7 linked regions of the Cricetulus griseus genome follow. The main gene of each other region encodes a partner of the protein of the gene in region 6 in a complex. Links are inferred from orthologs where the notes say so. Each region holds a gene or a part of one and is shown on either strand. Other genes may lie near its edges. The genes, in order: Snrpd2, Scnm1, Cwc15, Snw1, Cwc27, Eftud2 and Snrnp200.

Region 1 (3,987 bases), on a different chromosome or scaffold from region 6:
TGGGATAGACAGATAAGACAAATTTTAGCCGGGCGTTGGTGGCTCACACCTTTAATCTTAGCCCTCAGGAGGCAGAGGCAGGTGGATCTCTGTGAGTTCGAGACCAGCCTGGTCTACAAGACCTAGTTCCAGGACAGCCTCCAAAGCCAGAGAAACCCTGTCTTGGAAAACAAAATAAAACAAAAAAACAACAAAAAGAGCACCCCACACTTTCTGATTTTTTATTTTGGAGGCTGGCCTCTAACATGATCATGGTGATCCCTCTGAGTGCTGAGATTACAGGAGTTTGTCACCAACTTACTATCATTATGCTTCTGGAATAACCTTTCCTTCAGGCCCCTCAGACTCAGTGCTCACCTATCAAAGGCCTTCACCCGTCCCAGGAGCTTTTTGTTGTTTCGACAGTTAATGAGCACTTGTGTGTTGTTCTTGACCGACTGTGTGAGCACCGAGAGGGGACCAGTGTTGAATTCCTCCTCTTCCCGCTTCTGCAGCTCTTCTGGGGTCATCTCACTCTTGGGTTTATTGAGGAGACTCCTGAATAGAAAAACCACGGGTGAGATGGGTGAGCTTGGAAGTGTGAGTGATCAAAGGCACTGTCCAGTGTCTCCTCAACCTGGTCCCCAAATGTCCTTTTCAGAGGTGGGAGAGACATTGTCTATTTAGCCCGTTCCAGCTGTCTAACCACCAAAACCTCTCCCACCCACGCATTCCCCACGTCTTCACTGATGGCAACTCTATTCAGCGGGTTCTCTAAGCTAGAACTCTACTGTTTAATTGATTTCTGTTTTGGTGACAGGATCTCCTATAGCCCAGGTTAGCCTTGAACTTGCTATATAACTAAGGACGACCTTCAATTCTCAATTCTCCTGACTCCACCTCCCAAGTTCTGGGATTACAGGAGTTCAACATCAAGCCCGGCACTCTCTTAAAGGAAATCTACCCTCACATCTTGTCATCTGCCTCTACGACATATCCAGAACCTGGCTATTTCTATCCATGGCCTAATCTTCCGTTACCTTTCTCCTGGTGCCCGCCATCCCCACAACAATGTCTTACTGTGTAACCCTGGCTGACCTGAGACTCAGACTATCCATCTCTGCCTCCAGACCTCTGGGATTACAGGCATGCTGCCACTATACCCAGAACCCAAGGTAGCCATGTACTCTGCCCACTGAGCTATAACTCCAGCCCAGTGTTGCATTTTCAGTCTTTTTTTTTTTTTTTTTTTTTTTGTGGTAGCTACTCAAATTTCTTCATCCGCACTCTCCATCATCTAACACGTTCTCTGGTCTTCCTACCCCATTCCTTTTACCAGCCCCAGTGAGAAAAACTTTCTCTCGGTGGCACGGACCTTTTATACACCGTGTGTCTAACTTAACAACCAGTCTGTGTAACACCTGCTTGGTGAATAAACACATCAAACCATGGCAGTAGCTTGCTACTCTGAGAGTCTCCAGGCAGATTGAAAAAGCCCCCCTGTCTGTTTTCTACCTTATCCTGGTTAAGTCCCTCATTATGATTTTTGCTTGTTTGTTTTTTTTGGAGAGCCTTTCACTATTTTTTAATAGAACTCCCTTCCCCTGCCGAGACCTTTATCCATTTACGGCTCCCATTTAAAATTACTATTACTTTTGGAAACGGTCTCCATGTGCAGCCCAAGGCTGGGCGCGAATTCACCATCCTCCTGCCTCACTCAGCCTCTCTTGGGCATGTGCCACCAGGCTCAGCTTTCCTCTTACAGCTCTTTTCACAAGACTCAGTACAGAGCAGGGTCCCACGCCCGTTATGCTGTCGGGGCTGGAGAGATGGCTCAGGGGTTAAGAGCACTGGCTGCTCTTCCAGAGGTCCTGAGTTCAATTCCCAGCAACCACATGGTGGCTCACAACCATCTATAATGAGACCTGGTGCTCTCTTCTGGCACGCAGTGTATACATGGTTAATAAATAAATATAACCACATGGTGATTTACAACCATCTGTAATGGGATCTGGTGCTTTCTTCTGGCACACACTGTATACATGGTAAGTAAATAAATAAGTAAATCTTTTAAAAATAAAAATGAGGGGGGCTGGAGAGGTGGCTTAGGGGTTAAGAGCACTGACTGCTCTTCCAGAGGTCCTGAGTTCAAATGCCAGCAACCACATGGTGGCTCACAACCATCCGTAATGAGATCTGGTGCCAGATCTGGTGCCTTCTTCTGGCACGCACTGTATACATGGTAAGTAAATAAATAAATCTTTAAAAAATAAAAATGAGGGGGGCTGGAGAGATGGCTCAGAGGTTAGAGCACTGACTGCTTTTCCAGGGGTCCTGAGTTCAATTCCCAGCACCCACAGGGTGGCTCACAACCATCTATAATGGGACCTGGTGCCCTCTTCTGGCTCGCACTGTCTACATGATGAATAAATAAATAAACTTTAAAAAAAAAGAAAAAGAAAGAAAGAAAGAAAGAAAAGAAAGAAGAAGCTGTCCGGCTCCGGAACTCCAGACCCGTCCTTCCAGGCCCCACGCCCGTCCCCTAACACCTCAGGAGGAACCTCTGCCCCCGCTACGAGCACCCCAAGCCGACAGTCCACCTGCTAAGCCGCCCGCGTCCCTCCCTCCACCTTCGCGTCCCCGCGGGAGCCCAGCCCGGCCTCACATGGTGGAGGTTTCGATCGCAGCTCACTCCCGCCTCCGCCGCGTTGCCGTGTAGCCTCCGGAGTAGAGCGAGCGGAAGGCGGGACTTCCGCCTCCCTCCTCTGGGATCACTTCCGTCGGCGCCTGCGCAACCCGCCCCAGCGGCGTGGGCGTGTCACGTTGCCATAGCGACCCGGCGGCGGCTCTCTGCCGTAGGAAATGCCTGGAGGGAGGATTCCATGTCAGTGAGGATCACAATAGGGGGACCCCCCCGCTCGCGACTAAACAAAAAGGGGGAGCCGCCGGGCCTGGCTCGAATTAACTCCCCGTCTGGGTGGAAGAAGAACGGGGGCGGGGAGGAGGCGGGGACACGACACACAGCTCCGTTTCCAAGCGCGCGGCGCCCGCCTCCTCCTGGGGGGGCGTGGCCTCGAGCGAGCCAATCGCCTCCTTGCTTCAGGGATGGGCGCCGCCCGTTTCTCCTTGATGGACACCTGAGGGCGGCGGGCGCGGCTTCCGCACGGTCAGCCGCCACTCATTGGCTGCGCCTCTTGCGTGGGGGGCGGGCCCTCGGGTCTGCGCACCGCCTTCTGGAGAAGAAGGAGCCAATCGCGGCCGTCTGCGCGACGATGCCGCCGCCGCTCTGCTTCCCTATTGGCTTGCGTAAGCGATAGGGGGGAGGGGCGGAGCCTGGCCTGGACTCAAACCTCAGTCTGGGACGACCGGCTTCGGGGCCCCGCTGCTGCCATGAGTCCCGGGAGCCGCGGGCGGCCCCGGCAGCGGCTCGGGGATCGCGGCGCGATGCAGCCGCCCTCGCTTTCCAAGCGCCGCCTGCTGCCGCGAGTGCAGCTCCTGCCCCTGCTGCTCTTGGCGCTCGCCCTGGGCTTGGCGCTCTTCATGGTCTGGAACGGCTGGCACCCCGAGGTTCAGGAGCTGTCACGCAGCCGGGATCTGCGGGTGAGGCCTGCCTGGGGCCCCGGTCCCTCCTCCGTTTCCCGTGCCGAGCGGGTGACATCTCTTTCTCCATCACTCAAGCAAGCGCACGCCCCTGCCTCGCCGTCCTGGAGATGCAGGCGGTCAGCCTAGCAACGCGGGCAGATCTGAGCTCCGCGCCCCAAGACATCTGTTTGCAAGGTTCCCGTCAGGGCTCTAATAGTAGCAGGGGCCAGATCTGCCTTGAAGACGCCCTCCCGCTCTAGGGTGTATGCATGTGAACTCCAAGTCTTTGCTGCACCACCAAGAAGAGTCAGGGCTCCCAGGGGGCAGCGGCGCCCAGGAGAGGGTGGGGATGGGGGGTTTTGTCTTCATTCTTCTCTTCCCCACCAAGGTCCCGCTGATTGGAAGCCTTCCGGAAGCCAAGCTACG
Region 2 (3,943 bases), on a different chromosome or scaffold from region 6:
GGATAGTGCTACCCTGAGAGGTGTAAACAAAATAAGACAAAGCAGAGACCACAATATAATTAATATAACATCAGGGAAGGCCGCTTAGCAGACCACCCAGTTTCTCCTGGGCACTAAATCTCTCCTGAATGGTCACCACACCACAATCCTTGGAAGACTCACCGTCACCCCGTATTTGAGTGCTAGTCCAGCCAGGGTGTCTCCAGGCTCCAACTGATGCTCCAAGCGTCTTTCCCTCACCGGGGAGCACGATGATTGTACCAGGCTTCCATAAGAACGAGCACGGCTCCCATGCAGCAGCCCTGACCCCCCAAGTGGGGGCTGTCTAGAGGGAGAAGCCATCTCAAGATGCCAAGATCTAGGGTCACAACTGAGGAAAGCTAAGTGACCAACAGTGAGGGCCGAACCCCAGGAATGGATAGATATTCTAGGAATTCCTTCTCACTTCTCTCTTTAGTGTCCCCGCTCTCGAGAGACTACATCAATGCTCCTCTTGCTGCTGCTTACCGAGCTTGGGGTCACAGTCCGTACCCTAAGAAGGCTGCCAGGCCGGTTACATTTCTCCTTCCTCAAGACCCTTGCCCATAAATATCTTCCCTGAGTGGTCGGTCGCCGACCCCTTCGACTTTCGACGCCCTCTCCCCAACTCCTTGCAAGCCTGATCTCTGACCTTTGAACCCTAGACACCCTCATCAACACTCTCCCCTCAGTGTGTCCCCACGTCCCGCAGCCGGGCCGCCGGGAGCCCCCACATCCTCTCTGCTCCAAATCAGGCCCACCCCAGGTAGATCGTGGCTGTGGACGGTGAGCCTGGGGACTGAGAGAGTTTGCAGTACACGGTCCACTGAGATCCCCGAAGCCTCGCTCCACGCCAGGAGGGTCCCACCCTGAAACTCCGGCTCCACGTACAGGTTCTTGGTCTCCAAACACCTGGGTCCTTCGCGATGTGAGTGCCTGTACTCAGGTGAGCGGTGAGGTCTTTTAAAAACAACAAAAAAAAGAAAATAACTAAAAGACTTCATTTCCCAAAAGGCAAAGCGTTCTCAGGGCATCATAGGAAATGCAGGCACCCTCAGGGCTCTGGAGGCGGGTCTTCCGGCTCGCGCGGTGCATGCGTGGAAACGCATCCCCGGAAGTAAAGACTTAATCAGAAAAAGACCGGAAGCAGGGAAGGCGATAACCTACTCTTCCTACGGTGGCCCGAAGGAGAGGCAAAGTAGGCGTAGGAGAATTTATTATTTCTAAGACTCACAGTCGTGATGTCTTTCAAGAGGGAAGGTGACGACTGGAGTCAGCTCAATGTGCTCAAAGTAAGCCCTAGTGAGAGTCTACCCACGAGCAGTGGTGGCGCACGCTTTGAATCCCAGCACTTGCGAGGCAAAAGCCGGTGTGTCCGTGTTGCGTTTGAGGTTCGAGGCCAGCCTGGTCCACACAGCCAGCTCTAGAACAGTCAAGGCTACACGAAGAAACCCTGTCTCGAAAAATCAAAGAACTAGAGAGAGGGAGAGCCCAGCTTCAGTCGCGCTTTGCATTGTTTTGTTGCTCTGGCGACATCTGTGGGAGGGGGTTTCGGGGGCCAGAACTGAGTGATGCCTCCTCCTTCTTACCCTATGGTCTGCTCCATTTGACTCTTTATCCCTGTTATTTCTTTTCATCCATCCCTCATATTCGTTTCTCCTGTCCTGCTCTCTGCAGAAACGAAGAGTTGGAGACTTGCTGGCCAGTTACATCCCAGAGGATGAGGCGCTAATGCTGCGGGATGGACGGTGAGAGCAGAGTGGATCAAGCCTGGGGATTTGCTATCAGAGGCTCAACAGACTTTGGTTTCTAAGGAGATCAGGAGTGTAATAGATCCTTTGGTTGGAAGTGAAGATTGGAAGAGGTGGCGATCGGGAGACCTGGGCGTTGGTGGAGTGCTTTGACAGGCATAGCCCCTAAGTAGGAACACCCCAACCACCGGCTCTCCAACACATACGGGTTTGCCATTCACTTCTCTTTTCCCTAGCTTTGCTTGCGCTATCTGCCCCCATCGACCAGTCCTGGACACGCTGGCCATGCTGACTGCCCACCGTGCAGGCAAGAAGCACCTATCCAGTAAGTACAGGAGAAGGCGGGGAGTGGAGGAATGATAGAGAATACACTCTGAACATTTTGTCAGTCTACTTGATGTTGTGCTTGCTTTCCTTTTCAGGTTTGAAGCTCTTCTATGGCAAAAAGCAATCAGGCAAGAAAACAGAGCAAAAACCAAGACAGCAAAATGAATTGAAGACAGAAAGCAAAGCCGAGGTGAGAGATCTGGTCAGGTGTTGTTCAGGCAGGGCTGTACTGCATGCAACAGGACTTTTGCCTAACATCTCCAACTGTGTCTTCTTCTCTTGATAACCAGGCACCTTTGCTAACCCAGACTCGATTAATCACCCAGAGTGCTCTGCACAGAGCTCCTCACTATAGCAGTTGCTGCCGGAGGAAGCACAGGTCTGTAGAGGGGGAAATCCGGAAGTGGGAAAGGGTAGAAGGAAATAGATGGTTCTGAAGTTACTGCTCTCCAAACTGTACTCTGAGAAACACTAATCTTGTGGAGATGTTGTTTAAAGAAAAATGATAGTTTGTGGTTTGTTTTGTTTTTGTTTTTTGTTTTGGTTTTTCAAGACAAGAGTTTCTCTCTGTAGCTTTGGAGCCTATCCTGGCACTTGCTCTGGTGACCAGGCTGGCCTCGAACTCACAGAGATCCCCCTGCCTCTGCCTCCTGAGTACTGCAATTAAAGGCGTGGGACACCATCGCCTGGTGATAGTTTGTGATTTTAAAATAAATTTTAGCCGGGTGTTGGTGGCTCACACTTTAATCCCAGCACTCCGGAGACAAGGCAAGTAGATCTCTGATCTATAGAGTGAGTTCCAGGACAGCCAAGTCTACACCAAACAAACAAAAACCCTGCCTTGAAAAACAAAATAATGCACACACACACAAAAAAATAGTAACATTATTGCTGGATGGTGGCACACGCCTTTAATCCTGGCACTCCAGAAGCAAGGCCAGTGGGTCTCTGAGTTCCAGGCCAGCCGGGGCTACAGAGGAAAAAAAAAAAAAAGTAACATAATCTGGGCATAGTGGTACACTTTTTTGTTTGTTATTGAGAGGGGATCTCCCTTTGTAGCCCTGGCTGTCCTGGAACCCTGCTATTTAGACCAGGGTGGCCTCAAACTTACAGAGATCTGCCTTTCTCTGCCCCTTAAGTGCTGCAGGTACTAAAAGTGTGTACCACCATACCTGGTTATGGAAAATCTTGAGGCAAAAGCGTAGAACTATTAAGCTGGCTTTTCTCAAGTTCCTAATTCCAAAATCTTTCATATGTAAAATATTTAAGATCTTATGGAACTCAAGCTGGGTGTGGTGGTATACACTTTTAATCCCAGTACTTAGGAGGCAGAGGCAAGTGGATCTCTGTAAATTTAAGGACAGCCTCATCTACCTAGTAAATTCCAGGTCCATCATATGTACTCTATCTCCAAAAAAGCAAACAAAAAAACCTCAGGAACTAGCCAGGCAGTGGTGGCTCACGCCTTTAGTCCCAGCACTCTGGGAGGCAGAGGTAGGCAGATCTCTGTGAGTTCTAAACCAGCCTGATCTACAAGAGCTAGTTCCAACAGCCTCCAAAGCCACAGAGAAACCTTGTCTCAAAAAACCGAGGAAAAGAAAAAAAAAAAAAACAAAAAACTCAGGAACTCAGTTTAGGAAACACTGCTCTTCAGGCTTGGGAGGCACGGGGAAGCTGCTACTTTCCTTCTGTGCATTTAACAGGCTTGGTTTCTTTTCTCCCCAGACCAGAGGCTCCTGCTCCCTCTGTCTCCAGTTCTCCTTTGCCTGCCCCAGAGGTTGGACTCCAGAGTGCAAAGATCAGTAGGGAACCTGAGACTAAGGCAGGATCACATGCCAAAGAGTCAT
Region 3 (3,500 bases), on a different chromosome or scaffold from region 6:
AAATTGATCCTTAACATTTTATTAGACTTTAATTAAGCACATAAAACTGTACTACTTAATATATTTCTCCATGAACTTTTTGTGAAATTCAGATCGAAGTGTATCATTTACAAATCTTTTGTCTTTCTTCTGATCATCTATACCCTTTGCACAGTTCTTAAAAACGACATCATCGTCCCACCTAAAGGGGAAGAAAAGAAAATAAATACCTTATAATTCTATCAGGAAACAAGAACACCACACAGGCTGTAAAGCTTCATCAACACAGACACAATCTGCCTCCTGACAAGAAAAGAACTGGTGTGCCTATGGTGGAAGTTGTCACAGCAGGAGGCACCCATACTCAGAGCACATACCACTCCCCTAGTGGAAGCAGCTCTGAGCTACAAAGCAGAAGCAGACACACATACTGCGCTCAGGTAAAGGTGTGATATTTTCAGGTCTAAAACCAAGAGGCAGGGCCATGGTCCTGATCCAACACCACTAGACAGTAAGTGATCCATTTCCTGATGCTTTGTAAAGTTTTGTACATACTTCTAATCAATTATATCCATCATGCTGGTCATACATCATAAAGCAACAAAAGACAGAACTACAGGAATGTAACAATGAAGATTCACAGATTGGCCCCAGTCTCCATTAATACTGAAGAAGTATCTGCTAAGGAGCTCAGAGTAGAACTCAGCTGGATTTCAGAGAGCATGAAACACACTCATGGAAAGGTGCCATGGAAAGTAAAGTGCATAACGTCAGAGCAGCACCTCCCATATAAAAACATAAACCCTTCCTCATGACAAACACAGACACAAACATACATAAAACACAGCTTACATTGTGCTTGTGTGTGTTGGTGTATATTTACCAGGAGAAATTGCACAAGGAAAATGAGCAAAGACTATGTGTACCTATGGGTACTGTGTCAGTAAATTTGCCTTGATGTTGCACACATGAGAAGCTCAGCAGCATGGTAAACTGGGATATTTACTCCTGCATCCACAAAGGGAAGAATAAACCAGACTGCTTCATATTCATTTATCGTGTTTTGTCTCTTAACTCATCCCAATGAGCTTTTGGTCCCTTGCTCCCTTCTCTTCGAACACACATCAGCATACAGTATTCCCAGACTGTCACTCATTCCTCTCACAACACTAATGGGAATGTCTTGGCTGCCCTCTTCTCTAGGTGCTTAGTCTTAGCCTAGGATTTTAAATCCAAATACTAGTTTTTAAGCACTTACTATGAACTTATACTACTCCAGTACTATGAACTTATACTGCACCCTACTCCAGGCACTGACACAACCCTCTGCCCATGCTGGTGACTCCCAGACGAATTATTACCAGCTTGAACCAACTGCAGAAACACACAGACTAGATACACTTAGAGATGTGTAGAGCACTCCAATCCTAGCATGCCTGGAACCTGTTTCCTCTTTCATGCTCAGTATAAGCCATACTCCTTCCCATGCCTGCCTTGCAACTGCTCAGGTAAAATGCTTGGAGTCTGGTCTCTAAACTGCTGGTGTCAGCAAACCTTCCCTTGACTGTACTGTTGTCTTCAAGAATGTGTGTTAAGTTTTTAGCTTTATGTCACCACAAGGACTGTTCTTTTACTGTGATCGAGTAAAGAAACGAACGAATTTAGAAAAAAGCAGCTATTATCGTGACTTTTAAAAGAAAGAACCATGGTGCTGGGATGAGAGAAGAGCTTGGAAGAAGATGGAGTTTTCTTTGTGTGTGAGCAGGAGCATGACCTTTGGGGTGAATGGGCAGGAGAGCAGCTGGGGCAGTGCTTCATTCCTGATGAGACAGCAGCGGTGGAGGTGAGCAGAAAGGAAAGGCAACGGGACTCCTCACCCCTGACACAGTACAGCCCCCCCCCCCCATCACACACACACAGTGGCTCCTGTGAGTGCTCACTCTACTTTCCTCTGCATCCTCATCTGTTGTCACATTATGCAGACTCTTTCCAGCTCTCTAGTGCCCTCCTCCTTCACATGCAGTACAGTGTTCACTCCCAGCCTGCCTCTTAGCTCGGCTAGCACTGGAGACCCGAGTCACCTCTCACCATCACTTGCCTATAGTACATAACTAACTTGACTTCCACGCAACAGAAGTTCCTGCAGGACGAGTCCCAATAACCTTGATCATCAAGTGTCAACTTCTAGTTTCACTGTTTAGTGACCTCTTACAGGAATAGGAGTGTAAGGAAGTCTATGTCTTTCCACCTTGTGACCTGAATGTATATCTATGAATACTCACAACTGTATGATCTGTGTGTATCTTACAATATCAAACATCAATATGGTCATGGCAAGTCCCCTGAATCCTTCTAGAACTGAACTGTGAGGGGTGGTCTTGAGGACCCTTCCACTCACATCCCACGTACAGGTTTTGTAGCTACCGTCATGTAGCTAGTGATCAGGTTTAGACCATGACTTGGCAGACACTTGGTTATTATGAGTATGCATTAAAATGAAGTCATCCTGCCTCTCTTCTTCTCCCATTATTCTAAAATCTGACTGAGGTTATATATAGGAGGTGGGGTCTTAGAAGCCTTATGTAACACATAATACAAATAATGTACCACACATATAGATCAACCCATTATTTTTTATCCCCTTGGTTAAGACAGGGTTTGTGTAGCCCTGGCTGTTCAGCCTAGTCTCAAACTCACAGAGATCCGCCTGCCTCTGCCTCCCAAGTGCTGGGATTAAAGGTGTGTGCCACCACCATCTGGTCAACCCATTACTTTTAGTACCTTCTTTTAACCTTGAAGTTGGCCTGAGGCTGGGATGGGCCAGTGAGATTGAGGAGGGGGTTTCCACTCAGAATATTTTCCATTCGAATTCTCTCTTCCTCTGCTTTTTGTTCTTGTTCCTGTCAATGGCAGAGGAAGACACAAAGTTACTAACTTCAAGTCAGTTGTCTTATATTGGTTCACAAATGAACATCTGTCAGATGGTAGTTTTCTTTCTCCTTTCCTTTCTCCTTTTTGAGACAGGTTCTCTTATAGCCCAGCTGGCATGGAACTTGCTAGGTAGCAGAGGATGACCTTGAACTTCTTACCCACTTCCTGAGTGCATGGTTGTGTACCACAGATGTACACAACAAGGCCCAGTTTTTCAGTGGTAGGGACCTAGGGCTTCGCACATGGCAGGAAAGCACTTTACCAACTTACTCATTCCTCTTTTTGATTCTTGACAAATACCAGAAAAATCTTTGTAAAAAGTAAATACATTGCTATTTTTATTACAAATATCTCATTCTTTCCAAAATAGTCAACAGTCTCTCAATTGTGAGAAGCTGAGATACAGATGTAAACGTTTTATTTAGTTACTTACAGGTTAAGTTTAGGAGCATTTTAATAAACATTTAAAATTTAAAAACATATTGTCAGACTTGTAGGTGAATGGTCAGACAGCCTCTGGATCAAATCTACACTTTCCCCCCAGGCTTGAGATTATATTTTTTGAGAACATGGCCACCCTATTAATATAG
Region 4 (2,558 bases), on a different chromosome or scaffold from region 6:
AGATAGCATTTGAGCAGGCTCTTCCAAGTAACAATCATTTTTTTTTTTTTTTAATACTGCTTGTGTTCCTGGCATTGTTCTAAATCTCTTTCAATCCTTTAAAAACACTGTTGGTGTTTGGGGAATATAAAGCCATATTGTTGTTTTCACTTTTATTTTTTCATTTTCATTTATATGCATGTTTGCATGTATACATATGTGTACATGCATGTAAGGCAGAGGTTGATGTTGGGAATCGTTCTTTATCACTCTTCCTGATACTGGTCTCTCAGTCAATACCAGAACTCACTGATAAAGGTTGTTAGCCAACGTGATCTGGGATCTCCTGTCTCCGTCTTCAGAGGGTGAAGTTACAGGCAAACTTCCACTCCCCCACCTGTCATTTACATGGGTCGTGAGGATCCAAACTTGGGTCCTCATACATATGGAGAAAGTGCTTTAACACTGAGCTATGTCCCTAGCCTCTTATGTTTCAAAGATAATTGAGACAGGGTTAGGTAATTGATGGAACTGAGATTCAACCTTGAATGCTTTGATTCCAAAGCTTTTTTTCTTAACGTCTTTGCTTTAAGTGGTTAAAGGTTCTATCTCTTACAACCTTAAGCTTAAAGCTTTTCAAAGTTGGGTGAAAATTTTTAAGATTTTCATTGAGAACCTAATTGTCTTGTGCTTTGATAGTGACGTTCTCAGGCAGTGGAGGTTACATTTCTCAGCATTATTGTCAGGTTCCTACAGTAGAATCCTTCAACTTTAGTTTTTGAGAAGTGCATACAGTTAGTTGAGTTTTAACCTCGCTCCCTCCCTTCAACTCCCCACAGATTCACCCCACCCTCTCTACACACTCAACTTTGTGTCCTTTGTCTGATGGCTAGTCAAAGCTTTTGTTGTTTGAGACAGGGTCTTTTACATAGCTCTGACTATCCTGGAACTTGATACATAGACCACAGCCAGCTTAATCAAACTTTTAATGAATACCTTAATTTAATAGTAAGTCTCTGGGTAAGAACTCAAATGAGTATGAACAAGTCTGTGTGTGTTTTAAATGTTGGAGTTGGGGGCTTTGAGAATTACCTGAAAAAATGGAAGTGATCTGAGTACTCACAAGTTTTCAGGTTCAGCTTGGGTATATTAATGTATATGGTTATCTAGTGTCATTTATTTTTCCACAGGGTATGGACAGTGGATTTGCAGGTGGAGAAGATGAAATTTATAATGTTTATGATCAGGCCTGGAGAGGCGGTAAAGATATGGCTCAAAGTATCTACAGGCCCAGTAAAAATCTGGACAAAGATATGTATGGTGATGACCTGGAAACCAGGATAAAGACCAACAGGTACCAAAACAGACAGTTGATTGTCCTGGTTACACCAGTAAAACAAAAGCAGTTCATGACCTCTTCTCCTTTTCCCCTAGGTTTGTACCTGATAAGGAGTTTTCTGGTTCCGACCGCAGACAGAGAGGCCGAGAGGGACCAGTTCAGTTTGAGGAAGATCCTTTTGGTTTGGATAAATTTTTGGAAGAAGCCAAACAGCATGGTGGTTCTAAAAGACCCTCTGACAGCAGTCGCCCTAAGGAACATGAGCATGAAGGCAAGAAGCGGAGGAAGGAGTAGATAGGCCTCTTTTCAAAGCAAAGGACTCTTATTCACAGCCCTAATGATGCAAGTCATTGGGAAACCCTTTGTAAATGATCAGGACAAAAACCAAATCTGGGCAATAGATCCCAGCACTACTTTTTATTCCAGGAGATGGGGGTTGAATATTCTACTTTGGATTAGTTTTTTTAAAGAATGAGTTATGTCTGTGCTCCCATCATACAGCACTTATAGGAAATACTGCCCCAAACAGAATTAAGACCACTTTCTTGTATGTGAAATTACTAATCCAGGGGTAATATTTTGTGTAAGAACTTTATGAATAAAATTACCCCAAAATGTCCACATACTGGAACTGTGCTACCAAATGCATTTGCCCTGTTGTGCTGTTTTACCTTGCAGTGGGGAAACTAAGGTCCTGCTTAGTGTGCAGCTCTTGTTTCAAATAAAAACATTTAGAAAAAGTCTCTTTACATTTATTTAATGGGTACTACAGTAACCATCTCAGAAGTCTCTGTCTTCATCAGATGTTTGAGCCCTTTGCAAAATCCTTTCTTTCCAAGCTTTAACATCCATCTGTGGAGGGAAAAAGCACTATAAGAAAAAAATGACATTAAAAGAAGAATTTCCCTGTTTCCACAAATATCATTTTATTAGTGACTCAGGTGGTTGGTGTCTTCCTTCTGGGTAATCAGAGAGGGGAAGGGAAGATTTCAGGTGTTTGTCTACATTGCTGTTTGAACCATTCTGTGTTACATATGCCTGGATAAGCTATCAGAGGGTCTTCCACCTGGGGATGAAAACTCAGTGGAGCATGTGCTTATCATATGTGTGGCATTCTGGGTTCAATCCCTAGCATCAAAAATGGGGTCTTCATGGATTTTCCTTATGGACCTTATAAGACACCAACTACTCTTTAAAAAGCAACGTGAAACAAACACACATCAACAGAAATACTTACCTT
Region 5 (3,500 bases), on a different chromosome or scaffold from region 6:
TCTGTTACCAATTTGAGTCATAACATGATTATTTTTCTTTGTAAGAAACGTGGCAAAATTTTATATTCACTTGGGTATTTTTTGTTCATGGATAATTTTGTATGCAGCTATATATTCCATAAATTCTTTACTGTTTCTGGTTGGCTTCTAGAATGCATTACATATGACTTCAAATACCTCCAGTGGTGGCAAATCAGTGTCTTCTAGTTATACCTGATTTTTAGAGACAGTGTTATTCATGGCATCAGAAAACAATATTTTGGGTGAGAAACTAGGTATTTAAGAATCCACAGTATCCTCTTGTATGACATAGACAAAGCTCTCCAAATAGAAATTAGGTAAATATAACACTGCAGGGGGAAGATTAAAGAAATAATAATAAAAGAATCAAATCCCTCAAATCAGACAAAGAAAATAGTCTGCAAAGACCATTATTAATAATTGCTATGGCAGGCAGGCAGGAAATCAAATCAGACAGGTAGTTTAGTTAGGGACGCCTCGGATAACTGTCAACAAAACTAAGAAACAAAGGAGGCAGAGAAGTCTGACTTCTGGGAATAAGTGTGAAGTCAAAAGCTCAAATTTTACAGGAGAGTGGAATTACAAAAACACGAGAAAGAATGAATGGTAAATGCAGTCCAGGACCAGGTGAATGAAGAAACAGAAAGTATCTGGATAGAATGTGACAATGAAATAAACATGAGGTTCAGCGGTTCAGCTTGATGCTGACATAGCTTCCTTGCATCAAAAAAAAAAAAAATATTATTCTCCCATTTATAAGAAGACCAGGAGTTAGAAGTAAAGAATGGAAAATTCATAGAAATAACCAGAGCAATTTTCATAATGAAACAGGCAAGAATTTAATAAAATTATTGTTGGGAAAGCTAACTAAAAACCTGAGAAGACTAATTTTTTTTTTTAAAAAAGATACTCCTGGCAGGAGAGATGGCCCAGCAGTCAAGAGCACTGGCTACTTTTCCAGAGGCCCTGGGTTCAATTCCAAGCAACTACATGGCAGCTCACAAATGTTTGTAACTCAAGTTCCAGGAGATCCAATGCCCTCTCTGGCCTTCAGGTCACCAGGCATGAATGTGGCATACAGACATACATGTAGTCAAAACACACATCACTTATTTTAAAAAAATATGTGTATATACAACTCCATTTATTTCTTTGAATGTCTGATTCAAAGAAGTTAGGATGTTTTTGGGTCTTGTAATGCACCTTTCAATACAACAGCAGCAGCAATGCATAGTTTTCAGAATGAAAAGAAAATGGACAGAAGCCTGGGAGAGAGGGAGGGAGAGAGGGAGGGAGGAGTTCAGTCTCCCACATGGCCCTTGATGAAACAGGTTTTTTTGTTAAAAGATGGTCACATTCTTTGTAGAACTCAAAGATATGTCATTACGAATTTAACCTTGGACTTTGAGGTCTTTGCTTATAGTTAGGAAAACATCTAAAATAAATACATTTTGAGAATTGCCAGTCTTAAACATGGTATAAAACTGTTACAAAAGAAGGAAAGAAACAAAGCAAAAGGCTACTGATTCTCAATGTTTAGAGAGGATACCCTATAACTCAATGGGTACCATGCTTCTATCTTATCTAAGTTAACTTTTTCCTTCTTAATGATTCTGGTTTCAGAGAATAAATGCTATGGGATACCATATTTCATCTGTGCTGAATATTTGTGGCTAAAAATATATTTATAATATAGAACATATTTAAATTTATTAATTTTATATTGATTTCTGAAAGTCACTTAAGTGAATGACTTTGATTGGAATAAAATATATATTGTGTGTTTCATTTGCTGAACATTTTGTTTGAGGGGACTGCAGGTGGACAGTGCTAGAACTATGATCAGTTAATAACTTTAGTATCTGTGGGTTTGTATAATCTTGTATATTGGTAAGTTAATTTCCTGTCAGGGGAAGAGTCTCAGTCTCAGCACTGTTGGCATTTGGGATGGGTTAGTCATTGCTGTGCAGACAACCCTTTAGATTTTAGGGTGTTTGACAATATTCTTGCCATCTTGTATTCCAGGAGTTTTCTCCAGTTGTGATATTTCAAAATGTTGATAAATATCCTCTGGGATGCAGAATTGCTGCTCCTCTCTCTCACCTAGTTGAGAGCCATTGATGTATTAAACTTCTTGTCTTTGAGAAAATTCTGGAGATAAAACAAAAACTAAAACTAAAGCACTGTTGTTTCTGTAGAAGCCTATAGTGTTTTGAAGATTGAATGTTTTATAGGAAAGGTTCTAGTCTAAAAGCATATGTAACATTTTGGAAATTAAATCTGTGGCTCTCTTTATCTATTAATTATGATTACTAAAGCCACACTGACTTTTAGAAATTGTTATATTGTTTTTCAGCATACTATGACAACACCATTTTTCACAGAGTTGTGCCTGGTTTCATAGTCCAAGGTGGAGACCCCACAGGCACCGGGACTGGTGGAGAGTCCATCTATGGAGCACCGTTCAAGGTCAGATCAATTTATTGTATTCTAAGTCAGCTTGGAGTGCTTCTTCCAAAGTAATAGTGTCCCATAAGAAAAATGTCTCATGTAGTGAACAAAAAAAAAAAAAAAATCAATGGAGTTAGAATTATTTAGAGATAGGAACAAATATTACCTACCAAGCATTCTTTTTTTTTTTCTGTCATGGAAAAAATGTTTATTTTGAAATTATTTTAATTTAGAATAGAAAACCTCTTATGGAGGAGGAAAGAAAAAGAAACCACAAAGTATACAGGCAACTTTTTACTTCATGAGCTTCTCACACCCTCATTTGTTCACTAGTTCCCACGAAGAGAAAGCACTCAGCCACTCACAATAATGTTATTAATAGGGATATGGATCAGTTTCACAAAGAAGCTAATGAATCCCATGATAGCAAACCCTATGGCTGTGGCCATGGCAATCTTCTGGAATTCTTTTCTGTGGGGTTTGGTGCATTTTTTTACCAGCCGACTTGAGTCCTTGACAAACTGCCACTGGCCTAGCAAACTGCATTACCTGGTCCATGGTTGAAAGTTGCTGGATGACAGCTGGTGAAGCTAGAGACACATAGCTTCCCTACCAAGCATTCTTTCTGATTTATTTTGTGCTAGATTAAGTTAAGGTAGAACTAAGGGTTGCTATAAGAGAGAGGGAGAGAGAGAGAAGCAGGATTCAGGAAGAAGTGCATATGGTGTATTTCTTGATGTTTGTCTGATCTCAACAGCTAAGTTTTTTTTTTTTTTTTTTTTTTTGGTTTCAAGACAGGGTTTCTCTGTGTAGCTTTGGAGCCTATCCTGGCACTCGCTCTGGAGACCAGGCTGGCCTCAAACACTCACAGATATCCGCCTGCCTCTGCCTCCCAAATGCTAGGATTAAAGGTGTGCAGGCCCAGCTCAACAGCCAAGTTTTAAACATTGCATGTGCTATTTTAGATTAAAATAATTTGATTTAAATATTATATGGAATTTTCAGTAGTCTCCTTGGGCTACAACAGT
Region 6 (3,500 bases):
TCAGAAGTTCCAGGTCATCCTTGGCTCTGTAGAAGTTCCAGGCTAGCCTGAGCTATAGCAGACCCTGTCTAGGGGTGGGGGACATGCAGGTAAGGACAGGACAGATAAACAACACTGAGAAAAAAGAGAAACGGCAGATTTGCTCCTCTTCGCTGTCACTCTCTTTACTCTGTTTGGCTTCTTGTTTCAAAAATTCTGAAACTTTCATTTCACTATTTTGCAGAGTGCATAACCCAGACCCTGCATATAGTAGCAAGTGCTCTCGGATGGAGCTACACCCCAGACCTAAACTTTGCAAACAACTTGAGTCATTCGGAAGGCCAGGAGTGGAGGCACTGGCCTGTAATCCCAGCATTTGGAAGGCTGAGGCAGGAGGCCCAGGGGCTTAAGGAGTTAGATGGCCTGTGCTGGGTTCTCCAGACTCACAGAATACCATATCCTACAGCAACTGTGCTAACATAGGCCTCAAAGCAACTTACATGTGTAATTCTAACTAAATCTTCCATCTTCTTATGAAGCAGATGCTTGCAGAACACACAGTAAAGTTTCTTCATTTACACACCCTGTGTTATCAGTAAGACAGAGCAGCCAACATCACTCAGCAGCAGGTGCCATATGGCAAGGGAGCTGTACCAACTAGCTACTTAATTTCTTTTAACATCCCAATAGGCAATTCATTTGCTTAGTTAAAAAAAAAGTTCTGCTGACTCATTTATTGATTGTATGTGTGTATGGCATGTATGTGTGGGGTGTCTATAGAGGTCAGAGTGTGGGGTCCGTTCCGTCCTTCCATCTTTATGTAGGTTCTGGGGATTGAATACAGGCAGTTAGGCTTGTGCAAGTCCTTCATCTGCTCAGCCATCACGTTGGCCCTCTTTGTTTTATGAGATAGTGCCTCACTCTGTAGCCCATGTTGACCTCAAACTCATAGTAACTCTCCTGCCTCAGCTCCTGAGTGTCAGGATTATTGGGGTGGACCATTATGCCCATCTTATTTTTTTTTAATTAAATTTAATTATTTTTGTGTATGTGGGTACACACACCCACAGAGACCAGAGGTTGACACCGAGTGTCATTTTTTATTATTATTCTCCACTTTGATCTTTGAGTCAGGTTCTTTCACTGAACCTGGAGCTCATCAATTGGCCAGACTGCCTAGCCACGTGGTTTCCCTGTCTCCACCACACTGTGCTGGATCACAGATGGGAGGTACCATCCTAGCTTGTTCTATGGATTTTAGGGACCTGAACTCAGGTCTTCATGAAGCAATCACTTTACTCACCAAGCCATCTACTCAGCCCTAATGTGAGTTGTTGAGATAGGGCCCCTCCATGGTCCTCATGCCAACCTAGAACTTGCTATGTACTCCAAACTAGCTTCAAACTTCTAATCCTCCTGCCTTGACCTCCTAAGTGCTGGGACCATCGGCATATGCCACCACACTGTATCCGGGGTTGTTTGTTTGTTTGTTTGTTTGTTTAATAGAAGCAAAAATGACCTTTGGGGGCTGAAGAGAAGGCTCAGCAGGTAGAGCAGCACATTGCTCTTGCACAGGACCTGGGCTCAGTTCCCAGCACCCACATGGAGACTCACAGCTCTCCTTAACTTTAGCTTTAAGGAATCTACTGTTTTCTTCCGACTAGTGTAGGTACCAGACATGTACACGGTGTACAAACATATGTGCAGCTAAACATCCAGATATCTAAATAAACAGGTAAGTAAATAATGAGCTTTGGTAATCGCCAACTTCACATGGCTGGCAGGTGGTAAAGGTGAGACTGCTTTAGAGTCTACTGACTACAGAACCAGGGATGTGCTAAACCGCGTGGCTGGTTCAGACACTGAACTGCTGAGGAGAGGCTTGCAGGCAGTCCTGCAGAGACCCGACATGTGCTGTTAGAACTGACAGGATCACCCACATGCCACAAAGTGAGGGACTCCCAGAAGTCTTCAAGGGTAAAATTAAGATTTATAAAAGCCAGACTCTCCTAAGGACAGGAAGTCCACTCCCAGGGGTCTTATACCTTATTAATCCATTGACCTCATCCACAATGTGTCGAAGTTTGTAATAAGCATCTGTTGGAGGCAGCTTCAGCTCCAAGATCAGCCGGTCGATTTTGTTGATGCACACGGTGACTGCTAACCTCTCCTGCACTGCATGCTTAATCAGCCGCTCTGTGTTCAGCATCACCTGAGAAACACAGGGCTCTGAAGCGGGAAGTGGGTACTAAGAGTAGAGAGCACATCTATAGTAGGGGGGAAGGCGACATTCGCAACACTTTCTGTACAAAGGGGAAATGGCCTGGGCGTGAAGTGTCAGCTGGAAGCATCATCCGCAAGGCAGACTCGGGGCTGTGAAGCTGAGCACAGCTAGGTAATACCCACCCACACGTCTGTCACTCTTCTGCACACAGGTGTTGAAAATGTCACTTGTTCAAACTGAGTGTCGCTTTGTCTGTCTGAAATCACGACACACGGGAAGTAAGGGGATTGCTAAAAGTTTGAGGCAGGCTAGGGCTACAACCCAAGACCTTACCTCAAAAAAATAAAACAACAATAACAAATAAGAAAATGGCTTGTTTTCTTATTTGTTATTGAATAAGGCACCTTAATTTCTTTTGAAGGGGGCACCTACACCTTAATTTCTTTTGAAGGGGGCACCTACACAGCAAGACTAAAAAGCAAATAAACACAACGGCCATGCTGGGACCAAAGCTTCTCAGCACTGAGAACGCTAGGAAGAACTTACTGATGAGGAAGTATTAAAATGAATGCTGTGACCCACCTCCAGCCCCTTGTCAGTGATCCTAAGGAATAAACCCAGAGCCTTGGACATTTGAGGAATGCTGCCCCTGAGCTAAATCCCTTCCCTGTTTTAGTCTCTTCTGAACCAGGGTGTCACTACCTTGCTCAAGCTAGTCTCAAATTTGCTGTTTTTCTGCCTTGGCCTCCACAGTAGTTAGGATGATAGGGTATATGCCACCATGCCTGGCCGAACAAGCCATTTTCTTATTTGTTATTGTTGTTTTATTTTTTTGAGGTAAGGTCTTGGGTTGTAGCCCTAGCCTGCCTCAAACTTTTAGCAATCCCCTTACTTCCCGTGTGTCGTGATTTCAGACAGACAAAGCGACACTCAGTTTGAACAAGTGACATTTTCAACACCTGTGTGCAGAAGAGTGACAGACGTGTGGGTGGGTATTACCTAGCTGTGCTCAGTGAATGGGCCTGGAGGCAAAGCATCAAAGCAGCAATGAACACCCCCAGATAGTGGTCTCCACTATATAGGAAGCCAGAGCTTGTTGAAGAAATGGCTGGTTTTACGACTAGGGTAGGGCAAGTGTGTAAGAAAATAAGCAAGAACTCAAAACATGATGAGGTAGGTCAAAAGGACGAAAGAGCCAGTTACAAAGAACTCTTGATAGTCAGAGATGAGTCAACTAGACCATCAAGATATATGAGAATACGCTGTGTGTGGTGCACACCTCTAATCCTAGCATTTG
Region 7 (3,500 bases), on a different chromosome or scaffold from region 6:
TTTTGAGATAGAACTTGCTGGACAGCTCAGACTGATCTGGAATTTGGAATCTCCTGCAGCCTCAGTGCTGGGATTACAGATGTTTCACCAAGCTCAGTTTGAGTCTTAAACATTTAACATTTTTATTTTCTTAGGATTTTAGTCAGTTGCTACTCTTCCCAAATACTGGGTTGATGAAATCTTAATATGGTGTGCCCCTGAATTCAGTGTAATAGAGCTGTTTCCTTCTGGAAAGGCCTTAGAAGGTAACCTATGGGATGACAGGTAACTCTGTTGCAACATGATAAAGAGACCTAGTGAGCCAAGTGTTTGCTTTTCTCCTTAGCTTGTAGCCTCAGGAGAACTGATGAGTTCGAAGAAGAAAGATTTACACCCTCGGGATATTGATGCTTTTTGGCTGCAGCGACAGCTCAGTCGTTTCTATGATGATGCCATTGTGTCGCAGAAGAAGGCAGATGAGGTGTTGGAAATTTTGAAGGTATGGCCAAGAAGGTATTTCTGTTCCATGTGCTTGTCAGAAAGGGTCAGTGTTTACCGAAATATCACCAGTACAGGGCCACCAATGCAGGGACAGTGTTTGAAGAAACAGATGGCTGTGTTCTTACTGTTGGTATTATTTGTTCTCTCCAGACAGCAAGTGATGACCGAGAATGTGAGAACCAACTGGTTCTGCTCCTTGGTTTCAACACTTTTGACTTTATTAAAGTGTTGCGACAGCACAGGATGATGAGTGAGTAGTCCGTGTACTTTTCTTTCTTGCTTGGTGCGTGCGTGTGTGCGTGCATGTGTGCGTGCGTGCGCATGTCTGTCTGTCTGTCTGTCTGTCTGTCTGTACATTCAGTTGTGTCCAGATTGTGTGTGTGTGTCTGTCCATGTGTCCATCCACACATTCAATTGTGGATGAATTGTTGCTTCTTTGGCTTCAACATTTAATTACCTTCTTTTTGCTGAGGAATAAAAGTTGATTTTATTTCATTCTCTCTTTCCCACCTTTTCTCTGTCCCTGTCGTGTTCTGCAGTTTTATACTGTACCTTGTTGGCCAGTGCTCAGAGTGAAGCTGAAAAGGAAAGGATCATGGGAAAGATGGAAGCTGACCCAGAGCTTTCCAAGTTCCTCTATCAGCTGCATGAGACTGAGAAGGAAGACCTGATCAGAGTAAGGGCTGCTTTGTTTTCTTTCACATTTCTCTCAGTGTTTGAGGTAATAAAACATCTTTGAGTTCTCTGGAGTTTGTCAGGGTGCCAAGTAGAGTGAGCACACTCATTGTTATGCCTGTGACACTGTCTTCACCTAGCACCATAGGGACCTGTTTATCACAGTCCAGGAAAGGAACATGTTTGCTTAATATGGAGCACCATACTTTCATGCCTTGGGTATAGCCTTGGTGGTTAATTGTAGACTGTTATACTGTTTAGAACATTGCATCTCATTGTGTTTGTTCCCTTTTTTGTGGTTTCTTGTCCGTCTCAAAATAAAGTGATATCTTTGGGTTTGGGGAAACATGAGTTAGTACCTGTGAGTGAAACCCAACCCAGAAGGAACAAGAACCTAGGAGAGTGATGATCGTTGTACTTTTTCTCTTTCCCTGTTTCAGGAAGAAAGATCCCGGAGAGAGAGAGTCCGTCAGTCCCGAATGGACACAGATCTGGAGACCATGGATTTAGACCAGGGAGGAGAAGTGAGTGCTGGGCTGTTCCCTGGCAATGGTGGATGGGAAACTCACCTGCTCAGCCTGTTACTGTTTTACCTGTTCCCAGGCTCTGGCTCCACGGCAGGTTCTGGATTTGGAGGACCTTGTTTTTACACAAGGAAGCCACTTCATGGCCAACAAACGATGCCAGCTTCCTGATGGATCCTTCCGACGCCAGCGTAAGGGCTATGAAGAGGTGCATGTGCCTGCTTTGAAGCCCAAGCCCTTTGGCTCAGAAGAAGTGAGTGAATTGCTTTTCTCAATTTTGTCTTTCTCCTCTCTTCCAGTTTGGTTTTAGCCATTGACTAAAATGTTACCTTGTCTCAAGGATAATTTATTGTAGAGGTGGAAACTGTTCCAGAGTTTTCCCATTGTGAGACAAGGAGGCAATACTGTTGTCTCTGGACAGGTTTATGATTGAGAATTATGAACAGTGATTGCCAGGGAATGAAATTATGGGGAATCACAAAATGATATCATGGTTATCTTGTAAGAATAGTAATCTACGGAGATGGCTCACAGGTTAAGAGCACTGACTGCTCTTCCAGAGGTCCTGAGTTCAATTCCCAGCACCCACATGATGGCTTACAACCATCTACATGCCAGAACCCTGTGACATAATAAATAAGTCTTAAAAAAAGAAAATAGTAATCTTATAAGAAATCTTACAAGAATGAACAGTTTGCAAAAGGATGCTATAACATAAAGTGCAAAACATTTCTTCCTCTAGCAACTGCTTCCTGTGGAGAAGCTGCCAAAGTATGCCCAGGCAGGATTTGAGGGTTTCAAAACACTGAACCGGATCCAGAGTAAACTCTACCGTGCTGCCCTGGAGACAGATGAGAATCTGCTGCTGTGTGCTCCTACTGTAAGCATTGCCCCGCCTGCTTTTTCTGTCCTGGAATGTTTTGGTGGCTAGTTGGATCTTAATTTTTACATCAGGCTTTATTCTTATGGTTATTTTGAGACAGGGTCTCACTATGTAGCCCTGGCTGTCCCGAATCTCACAATGTAGGCCAGGCTGCCCTTAAACTCACAGAGATCTGCCTGCCTCTGTCTCTGCCTTCCAACTGCTGGGATTAAAGGGGCGGCATACCATTCCTGGCTATTCTCTGTTCTGTTGTGGAAGACATAGGACAATCCAGTGGTCAGTTCTCTCTCTCGTTGTTAGCCCATTAAAGTCAAGGCAGTAGCCATATAGTTCATCAGACATGAACAGACTTTGTCTCTGACCTGCCTCTAGGGTGCTGGGAAGACCAATGTGGCCCTGATGTGTATGCTTCGAGAGATAGGGAAACACATTAACATGGATGGCACTATCAATGTGGATGACTTCAAGATCATCTACATAGCTCCTATGCGGTCCCTGGTGCAGGAGATGGTGGGCAGTTTTGGAAAGGTGAGTCACATCTTCTCGAGAAGGTACTGGCTGCAGATGGCCATGAAGTGGGGGAGGGGCCTATGTGCCACTCTTTCTTTCCTTAGGGAATCTCTGGATTTTTTTTTTTTTTTTTTTTTTTTTGCCATTTCCAAGGTAGAACGTGACCCAAGTGATTTCTGAAGGAAAAATGTCTTGGCCTCTCTTACATGGACTCCATTTTTCTTTGAGCATCTCCAGAGTGCTTGTGGAGTCATGTCTGGCCCACGGATATGGTTGATAGCTTGTGAGTTGTTACTCCAGTTCCACTCTCCTAAGTGTGTCCAGTTTCCTGCTCCATGTGGGGCTCCTAGAGACACTTTGCCTCGTCAACCTGAGTGGAACTGAACTTGTTTAAATAGTATTTGGTCATCCTCCTGATTCTCCAGATA

Evidence for each region.
Region 1: Eftud2 (region 6) and Snrpd2 share a complex: the UniProt entries of both Homo sapiens proteins name them as parts of the minor spliceosome. The link is inferred for Cricetulus griseus from reciprocal best matches to the Homo sapiens genes EFTUD2 and SNRPD2.
Region 2: Eftud2 (region 6) and Scnm1 share a complex: the UniProt entries of both Homo sapiens proteins name them as parts of the minor spliceosome. The link is inferred for Cricetulus griseus from reciprocal best matches to the Homo sapiens genes EFTUD2 and SCNM1.
Region 3: Eftud2 (region 6) and Cwc15 share a complex: the UniProt entries of both Homo sapiens proteins name them as parts of the minor spliceosome. The link is inferred for Cricetulus griseus from reciprocal best matches to the Homo sapiens genes EFTUD2 and CWC15.
Region 4: Eftud2 (region 6) and Snw1 share a complex: the UniProt entries of both Homo sapiens proteins name them as parts of the minor spliceosome. The link is inferred for Cricetulus griseus from reciprocal best matches to the Homo sapiens genes EFTUD2 and SNW1.
Region 5: Eftud2 (region 6) and Cwc27 share a complex: the UniProt entries of both Homo sapiens proteins name them as parts of the minor spliceosome. The link is inferred for Cricetulus griseus from reciprocal best matches to the Homo sapiens genes EFTUD2 and CWC27.
Region 7: Eftud2 (region 6) and Snrnp200 share a complex: the UniProt entries of both Homo sapiens proteins name them as parts of the minor spliceosome. The link is inferred for Cricetulus griseus from reciprocal best matches to the Homo sapiens genes EFTUD2 and SNRNP200.

What each region holds. Positions count from the first base shown.
Region 1 is NC_048602.1:28,213,612-28,217,598, forward strand, and holds the start of Snrpd2 (small nuclear ribonucleoprotein Sm D2), read right to left. Parts: upstream 2,801-3,987; 5' UTR 2,647-2,800; coding exon 2,645-2,646; intron 538-2,644; coding exon 358-537; intron 1-357. Other genes in the region: Qpctl (glutaminyl-peptide cyclotransferase-like protein), read left to right, coding at 3,370-3,579, 3,950-3,987. UniProt on the Homo sapiens protein: Plays a role in pre-mRNA splicing as a core component of the spliceosomal U1, U2, U4 and U5 small nuclear ribonucleoproteins (snRNPs), the building blocks of the spliceosome.
Region 2 is NW_023276806.1:61,367,435-61,371,377, forward strand, and holds the start of Scnm1 (sodium channel modifier 1), read left to right. Parts: upstream 1-1,143; 5' UTR 1,144-1,259; coding exon 1,260-1,310; intron 1,311-1,695; coding exon 1,696-1,766; intron 1,767-2,005; coding exon 2,006-2,094; intron 2,095-2,191; coding exon 2,192-2,286; intron 2,287-2,386; coding exon 2,387-2,475; intron 2,476-3,821; coding exon 3,822-3,943. Other genes in the region: Lysmd1 (lysM and putative peptidoglycan-binding domain-containing protein 1), read right to left, coding at 163-358, 910-1,022. UniProt on the Homo sapiens protein: As a component of the minor spliceosome, involved in the splicing of U12-type introns in pre-mRNAs. Plays a role in the regulation of primary cilia length and Hedgehog signaling.
Region 3 is NC_048597.1:127,982,822-127,986,321, reverse strand, and holds part of Cwc15 (spliceosome-associated protein CWC15 homolog), read right to left. Parts: intron 2,880-3,500; coding exon 2,761-2,879; intron 182-2,760; coding exon 52-181; 3' UTR 1-51. UniProt on the Homo sapiens protein: Involved in pre-mRNA splicing as component of the spliceosome. Component of the PRP19-CDC5L complex that forms an integral part of the spliceosome and is required for activating pre-mRNA splicing.
Region 4 is NC_048598.1:116,352,292-116,354,849, forward strand, and holds the end of Snw1 (SNW domain-containing protein 1), read left to right. Parts: intron 1-1,169; coding exon 1,170-1,333; intron 1,334-1,413; coding exon 1,414-1,612; 3' UTR 1,613-2,058; downstream 2,059-2,558. Other genes in the region: Slirp (SRA stem-loop-interacting RNA-binding protein, mitochondrial), read right to left, coding at 2,099-2,188, 2,556-2,558. UniProt on the Homo sapiens protein: Involved in pre-mRNA splicing as component of the spliceosome. As a component of the minor spliceosome, involved in the splicing of U12-type introns in pre-mRNAs.
Region 5 is NC_048595.1:323,093,451-323,096,950, reverse strand, and holds part of Cwc27 (spliceosome-associated protein CWC27 homolog), read left to right. Parts: intron 1-2,377; coding exon 2,378-2,490; intron 2,491-2,770; exon of another isoform or gene 2,771-3,030; intron 3,031-3,500. UniProt on the Homo sapiens protein: As part of the spliceosome, plays a role in pre-mRNA splicing. Probable inactive PPIase with no peptidyl-prolyl cis-trans isomerase activity. As a component of the minor spliceosome, involved in the splicing of U12-type introns in pre-mRNAs.
Region 6 is NC_048600.1:115,260,714-115,264,213, reverse strand, and holds part of Eftud2 (116 kDa U5 small nuclear ribonucleoprotein component), read right to left. Parts: intron 2,192-3,500; coding exon 2,025-2,191; intron 1-2,024. UniProt on the Homo sapiens protein: Required for pre-mRNA splicing as component of the spliceosome, including pre-catalytic, catalytic and post-catalytic spliceosomal complexes. Component of the U5 snRNP and the U4/U6-U5 tri-snRNP complex, a building block of the spliceosome.
Region 7 is NC_048599.1:51,360,503-51,364,002, reverse strand, and holds part of Snrnp200 (U5 small nuclear ribonucleoprotein 200 kDa helicase), read left to right. Parts: intron 1-325; coding exon 326-478; intron 479-630; coding exon 631-730; intron 731-1,019; coding exon 1,020-1,156; intron 1,157-1,595; coding exon 1,596-1,679; intron 1,680-1,758; coding exon 1,759-1,932; intron 1,933-2,421; coding exon 2,422-2,559; intron 2,560-2,934; coding exon 2,935-3,090; intron 3,091-3,500. UniProt on the Homo sapiens protein: Catalyzes the ATP-dependent unwinding of U4/U6 RNA duplices, an essential step in the assembly of a catalytically active spliceosome. Plays a role in pre-mRNA splicing as a core component of precatalytic, catalytic and postcatalytic spliceosomal complexes.